Linked DNA regions of Stegostoma tigrinum. The protein of the gene in region 1 interacts with the protein of each later gene in a biochemical or structural test. Links are inferred from orthologs where the notes say so. Each region holds a gene or a part of one and is shown on either strand. Other genes may lie near its edges. The genes, in order: troponin I, slow skeletal muscle; troponin C, slow skeletal and cardiac muscles.

Region 1 (3,928 bases):
CTGGATCTCAAGTGGTGAATTGTGGCATGGTTTCCTATCCAGTCCAACACTGGTTACACTGATCCCATTCCCTCTATATTCATTAAAATCACTCCCGTCAGACCTGCTAAAACCATGGTTTCAAGGCTTTCATAAAGTTGGATATTCTAAAGATGGATGCAACTTAAGACCTATAGCTGAATCCTTTTTCCTTCTGATATAGTGCAAGGTTCAGTGGTGTCAAAAAAGACTGTTCAGAATAATTCCTCCTATTTTAGTAGATTACCTCATACAAGAACAATAATTAGATTTTAATGTATGTGTCCCTGGATTATATTGGAGGGTCATAGCTGTATTCACAATGCCAAATTATTTTTATAGATATTTTCTAATCAACCTATACCTACACATCCCAGGATCAGGCCTCCTAGTTCAGATGTAAAGATACTACCATTGTCCCTCTAAGAACCCACCAACAAATACATCTTATAAATTTCTCCAGTGCAAATGGTTTTTATGAAAGTTGGATTGAAAATGAGAACTTAAGGTAAATAGCTTGGCATGAATGTTAAAAGCCAGTATCCCATGTTGTTGAAGGGCATTTAATTTTTAAAATTCTTTCTTGGCATGTGAACATAAATGAGCAGGCCAAAATTTACTACTCATTGCTAATAACCCTTGAAAATCTGATGATGAGCCAATTATGTGTCATTTTTATTTCTGCCAGCACTCAGCTCATTTATCCTTATAATTTATCCATTTTTGCACATGGAAACTAAACAATTAGTAATCGGCAATAGAGCCTAGAAGGTCTGATTGTCTTCAATTTACTTACTTTACATTCTCTATTTACAAATGATAAATGTGTACTGAAACTGTGGCATATCTATCCAAGGCCAGAAACAGAGCACAAGGCATATAACTAGAGGTACACAGTTAAAATCCTCCAGAGCACGTAAAAGATTTCAAAATATATTTTAATGTGGCCCCAAGAAATTGCGTCAATTGTCTTTGTTGCTTTATCGATTTTAAACCGTGTCATCAAAGAAGATTAACTAAAGATAAATAACACAGGTAGATGATCTGAACGCTAAAATCACTTGCAATTGCAGCATATGTGTAATTATATTGTACTAGGGCTGTTGAGGGCAGCCAACGTGCACATGTTTGGACATAGTGCATCATTCTATACATATGTGGTGACACAACAGAACAATTGAAGTTAGCTAATTGAGTATTTCCTTTCAGAGCTGTTAGGGAACATGTTTCATCGGCTCAGGTTTTATTTCTTGAATTTGATGTTAGCCAAGTGGGAAGGTAAAACTTATATGCCATACATGAAAGTGAATGTAGACTGGATGTCTCTTCATTCTGAAAAGTTCCTTTTCATTCCTTTCCTGACATGGCATTTGCAAAACAAACAAAATCTGGGGAAATGACTCAAATCTGTGTTTTCTTGCATTTATTCACAGAATGTGGGCATCTTTGGCTGGACCAGTATTTATTGCCCATCTCGCAAGTAAGAATCTGAAGTCACATGTTAAGCAGACCAGGTAAGGATGACAGATTTCCTCCCTTACAGGGCTTTAAGTGAACCAGATGGCATTCCCCGCCCAACAATTGACAATGGTTTCATGGTCATCATTAAATCCTTATTCCACATTCTTCATTGAATTCAAATTCCACCATCTGCCACAGCAGGATTTGAAGCCAGATCCCCAGAACATCAGCTGAGTTTCCTGGATTAATAGTCCAGTGATGCCACTAGGCCTCTACCTCCCTGCAAAAAGCTGCATTTAGTGCGTTATTCTGATTGGGGAGGATTTTGAAAATGAAGGCCACTTCTTTCTGGAGGAGGCTAGAGCTCAAAATTCACCTTGAGTGGTGGTGCCAAACAATGCTATCATAGCAGCTGCCACTTGTATGCAGAACCTCATCACCAGTTTCACTCGATATAATGGATCGCTGCTCTGGCATTACTTGTTTATGTCAGAACCTGGGACCAATTTCTGTTGCATGATGTGAAACATTAATATGCTGCCTGTAGTTGCCATGAATATTAAGTGGAGAGCAGTTGATAACCAGGACTTCTTGCTTTTAAATTTGTCCTACATTTTAGAAGATTTCTTACTTTCACATTATTTCCGGCTACTACAAGGCTTATGTGGTCAGATCGTTAGGTTTTAAAAAACAGTAACGTGCTGCAGCATTGTTGTTAATTCCTTTATTTTCCAAGATAATACTACCGTTATTTTTCCCTTATAGCCCTAATGCTTTCTTGTATATACTTTACACACCTCTTATGATGAGAAATTTGATCAAACCATCGAGAATTATTGTACTTAATTCTTCATTCACTCACATGTAATTGATGATTAATTTATTTTGGATAGCAGTACTATATATTGTTTTAAGTAAGTAATGTCTATTGTTTTTCCCTTCACTTCCCTCAGCTTGATTAAAGAGGTGGTTTGTAGGAAAGTAATTCTTCTGTTTATTTTGGTATGCAATAGATGGTACTGTTTACCAAACAAGTCCCTGTTGAATTCATTTTGGGACAAAGTGATAAAAATTGATTTTCTTTTTGCATGGATTTCATGTTTTTGACATAATTTCAGCTATAAACATCACCTCCAGCTCACTTCAAAGTTGTATTTCCTGGATTTGGAATACAATAATAAAGGGCCAGCTGGATGCTGTCTGATGTGGTGGGATTTGACAGGGGTGTTCCGGGTCATGAACCCATCCCTTGAGGGGAAAGAGACAGTGCTTCCAATTTTGATGAAGGTTGGCGTTAATCAATGAGAGCTTAGAAGTGGTGGCCAATTAGTGGCTTTAGTGAGGAGCAACAGTAGAGGCTGAAAAGCAGGTCACATTCTGGCCCAACTTACTGGTTTTATAAGCTTTTAAAAAAACGAAACCATTTGAACCTTCTGTTGGCTAAGGCATATGGATACCTGGAACTTTAGACAGCACAAGGAAACCTTCATGTAAAATTTCATTGCTGTGGAACAGATTTCCTTTAAAGTTTCCACTTTTCCTAAAATTCCACATTGTTGACGCTGCTCCCAACAAGGTTTTGTTTTATGTAGTTTCTAAGAGCTAGCAGCACCAACAAAAATGTTGCCACCTTAGAATGGGAGCTGTTTAAGTACCCCTTAGTTACCAGAAAGTGCCCAGTCATTATTGGGATTTTACTTCTCTCTGTTTCATATACTCTCCTCTCCCACCTCACAAAAATTATCGGAGTCAGGAATGGGGACATGGGAGTGTTACAGCACATAATGTGAGCACCACTTTTTCACTCCTATTTGCCACTCTAGCCCCTCACCTACGGACCCACCTGCCATCTATCCACTTACCTACCTTGCTTCCCTTCCTCATTTACCTGTTGTTAGCCTGTCCCTTCAAGTACGCATGTGCCACCCTGCTCTGTCACCCATTTATCTGCCATTCTAATTCTCTCACCATTCACCTGCCAACTTACCACCCCACTCAATTACTTGCCATTCTGCTACCTCCCTCACCTGGCAGCCTATACATTTGCCCATCTACCCATCACCCTTCTAGTTCACCTACCAGCCATCCTATCCCCTCATCCTCTTTCCTGCTACCTCCGGCTCTCACACACTTACCTGTCACACTATCCTCCCTCACCTATCTATCTGCCATCCGGCCACCCTAAACCCTCACACACTTACCTTCTCTTCGTAACTTATCTAAGTACCTTTGGGATCTTTAAACTATTTTTCACAGGAGACCAAATACTGAATGAATTCCTTGAGGGTCTCCTGAGATGGAGGCATCCAGGACAGGTTACACTCAAACGTTTGATTGTAAATATCACTACCAAGTAAGTGCGCAATCAGGATCATTGTTGGTCAGATCTGTCCAAGAGTAATCGGAAGACTTAGACCATTGTAATTTGATATTGGTTTTGGAATTTCAT
Region 2 (3,928 bases), on another chromosome or scaffold:
TATAACTGCAACTGACAATTATATATCACCTCTAACATAGAAAAGCATGCAAAACTGTTTAAATTTATAAAGAAACTGGACAACAATCTACAAAGGTGGCTTTCATGAATTGTCTTAATGAGGCGAGGAGGGCGGACAGGCAGTGGGATTTAGGAAGGGAATTCCACAGTATGGAATCCAAACAGCTGAAATCACAGCCACCAACAGCAGGAGGAAGGAAAAGCCAGTTTTGGAGGATTGGGAATACAGGGTGGAGACCTTTTTGCTGACAATCAGCTCTCTGCCAACATTTGAAAAGATTAAAATAGGTTTAAAGTCCCAAGGTAATCCACTGCATCTGGGAACTTTCCAAATTGATGAAAAGCAAGGTCAAGCCATGAAAGGTAATATTCTTGAAGTGGCCTTGCATCACTTGTTGAAATTTGATTGGGATGGTTTTGTGACCAAATTATACAGTTGAATGGCAATGATGCAAAGCACAACAATATGCCATAGCTAGCCCATTAGATGCTAAACCAAATGTGACCATCACCAAAATAATCAATCCACATTAACGGGTAAATTCTCACATTGCAATGACAGATGAACTACAGCCAAACAAAGAACCAACCAAAAACTTAATTGTATTGTTCATAGTTCAACTTAATATTTACCTACTTTTGCATTTACTTTTAAATGTTTTGTTTTGTTATTTTGTTTGTAGAATCTGATTACCTCCAAACTAAACCATTAACAGAAAAATAATGTTAACCCTTCAGCTGTAACTGTTCTCCTTGTATACTTGAATATTTGACCAGCGGCTGTCTCTTGTATTGAGCCATCAGTAGCATTTTAACAGGACTTCCAAAGCTGCGAGACCTTGTGTTATCCCCAGCGACATATCAAAGACAAGAGGAGGTGAAAGGCCAAGATGCCAGTTTAATTATGTCTTGACGATGGTATTGCAGCCTCTCCCCGCCCCCTCCCAAAACCCCAAAGGTATTCCATTTTTTTCCCAATTCTTATCTGACAAGTTGCCAGTGATTTACGGCTGTTCGGCTTGAATAAAGAGCCCAGCATGTGTTTAATGTCCTGGTGGAACTGTGACCTCTATAAAAGATGTTGCAGGACCATTGACTCTCTGCCTGCCAACAGCGCTGCATCCATCCTCAACTATGGAAGATATTTACAAAGCAGCGGTGAGTACAGTCACTGAAGGAAGACACAAGTTTCGCAGTTTATATCTGAGTTTTTCACTTTTTCTTTGTTCTGAAACTTGCAAATTAATTGCAATGACCTTCTAGAGAAAATGTGCACGTGTAATGAATGGCTTTGGGCGAATCTTGAGCCAGAATTTAGATTTCTTTTGTTGATCTGACATAAAGTACAAAGACGTCGTATACAAATAATCATACAGCAGGATCATTGAATAAAATTTTAAGTTATAATTTTACCAAGCTATCTAAATTTGTAACAACTTTTTAAAAAAATCGGTAGTATTCCTTCGTTCAAATTAAAGCTGTTCGTGGACAGTTATTTAGAAGTAATTGTCGATCTTTGCGAACAGTTAAGCAGGTCAGCCGGCGCCTACGCAGAAAATTGATTTTCTACAAATCATGTTGAAAGAGGGTGACCGGTTAACTCGCTTGGTTTTGGTTGAATTGAATGCAAGTCCAGTCTTTCAAATTAGCATATGAAAAAATAAAGTTTGTCTTCATTAGTCGATAATTGATAAGGAGTTGAAGCGTTTCTTGTGCTTAAAGTAACATTTCCATTTTTAAGTGAGCTTTAAAGACTCTTAATGATTCCCAATTCGGACTTATTTTTGTAGCCTTTTTATTGTCTCAACTTATAGACATCTCCCAATGGACATTAAACAGCCCACATGTGATTTTACCATCGGTCCAAGAATTCCATTTCTTTTCGATTCAAACCTGTTGTCCTGACTTATTTTTAGTTCATATAGCTTATTTTATCAAAGCTGACATGCTACATTACGACTCGTGTTTTATGAACCAAAACAAATTCCAAAGTTAGTCCAACTCATAAAAGTGTATTGCGCACAAATTACTAGCTATAAATTTGAAGTATAATTAAGGGACGCCTGCATTATTTCAGGTCCTTTTAACAGAGGCTTTGCCTGTAATTTTTACATGCCGTCTTCAAAGAATGCGATCAAGTGTTGCTCCTGCTTGTTAGAGCTAATTTTGGCAGCGAGGAGCCAGCTATCTTGGCGATAAGCTTCCACCATAAGCTACCCAAATGCTCAGATAAAAATTTCAAGGATGTGTGTCTACGTCAATCAAAACGGACACAAAAGCAAACCATGCACGGTAAAATTTGTCTTAGCTCTCCTCCACAGTTGTCTTGTCGTTTATCTTGTTAAAAATAACAAGGAGTCGTGTTACCAAGGCCACAGTGAATAGCCCTATAAAAGAGTTTGCTTTTGTTCGGTACCTATTCATGTCCAAACCATCCTGGTCCAGATGAGATGCCAGAACAATGATAGCAGCTGACTGCTTTTCATGGCAGTTCTTTCAGTAAGATCCTTTAGAAAACATTTGAGCGTTAGGGAGAATTCTGAATGTAATTAGTTTGGTGGTAGGATGTACTTATTCAAGAGGTATAACCAAACTCCCACTTTGGCAATTGGATATATAGAATCATAGAATCTCTACAGTGCAGAAAGAGGCCATTTGGCTTATCAAGTCTATGCCAACCCATTGAAGTGTATCTGACCTAAACCCAACTCCCCAACCCTTCCCCATATCCATGCATGGGGATTTTTACCATGGCTAATATTCCTAGCCTGCACATCCCTGGACACTATGGGGCAATTTAGCTTGGCCAATCAACCTAACCTGCACATATTTGGACTGTGGGAGGAAACCAGAGCACATGGCGGAAACCCATGCAGACTCAGGGAGATCATGCAAACTCCACATAGACAGCCATCCAAGGCTGAAATTGATATAGTTGCTGAATGCTCACTGCATGCTTAAGATTTCACAAGTTAAAAACTGAAGGTAGAAGAAAATCTTAAGCTTCCTGAATCCTAATAGAACTCCTCTGCAATGTGCCAACTAATTTATTGCCTTATTCAAAACTAGTGCTCACTCCTACCATCTTAGAGTAAATGTTTACTATCTGTAATATTTGCATTCAAAAGTAGGATCAATAATGAACTCTTAGAATAGGTAGGCAAAGCTAAAGTAGGACTTTGACTCTTTGATGGCTCAAAGCCTGTTGTAATATTTGATATCAGAGTAAAGTTTCTGCTGACATCAATTGATTCAGGAACTTATGATAATAGCCACAGTGCATGTTTATTGCTTATTTAACACAAAGTTTATAGAGAAGATGGAAAGAAAACCAAGAAACAAGACTGGAAAATGACGAAATGTAAGTAAGGAAAAAAAATTAAGAAAAGCAATGGCATTCGATGAGAAAAACTGAAGAGGATCAAGGAGGCAGAATGTTGCATAAAGAAGCCAAAAGAAGGAACTGTAGATCCCAATCATTTGTAACAAAGTTAGAAAAACTCGACATGTTTGGCGGCATCTGTGCAGGGAAAACAGAGTTAATGTTTTAGATCCAGTGACCCTTCTTCAGAACAAATTGTAACACAGGTTAGGAAACTATTGTCAACACATGCTTGAATCTTTTGAGCAAGTGCAAGTGATTGAGTAAAACAACTGATTCTATCCAGCCCACTTTCTAATAATTTTTGGTGTTCAGTGCTGTACCCATTATTGTCACTTCTTCAAATATGTCTGAACTCAAACCGAATATGAAGTAAACTCAGTGAACTATTCTCAATGTTATTTTAACAAACCCTTCATATTTGAATGTATCTGTCCCATTAAATTAAAACATACAATGAACAAGTTAAAGATAATATTGAATTGAAAAAAGAAATCATATAATTCCACAGAATAAACGTCAGGTC

Evidence for each region.
Region 2: the proteins of troponin I, slow skeletal muscle (region 1) and troponin C, slow skeletal and cardiac muscles are reported together in a solved structure, tested with the Homo sapiens proteins (2 studies listed by BioGRID, with this or other methods). The link is inferred for Stegostoma tigrinum from reciprocal best matches to the Homo sapiens genes TNNI1 and TNNC1.

What each region holds. Positions count from the first base shown.
Region 1 is NC_081374.1:32,239,248-32,243,175, reverse strand, and holds the start of troponin I, slow skeletal muscle, read left to right. Parts: upstream 1-1,451; 5' UTR 1,452-1,452; coding exon 1,453-1,532; intron 1,533-3,928. UniProt on the Homo sapiens protein: Troponin I is the inhibitory subunit of troponin, the thin filament regulatory complex which confers calcium-sensitivity to striated muscle actomyosin ATPase activity.
Region 2 is NC_081364.1:20,356,782-20,360,709, forward strand, and holds the start of troponin C, slow skeletal and cardiac muscles, read left to right. Parts: upstream 1-1,088; 5' UTR 1,089-1,154; coding exon 1,155-1,178; intron 1,179-3,928. UniProt on the Homo sapiens protein: Troponin is the central regulatory protein of striated muscle contraction. Tn consists of three components: Tn-I which is the inhibitor of actomyosin ATPase, Tn-T which contains the binding site for tropomyosin and Tn-C.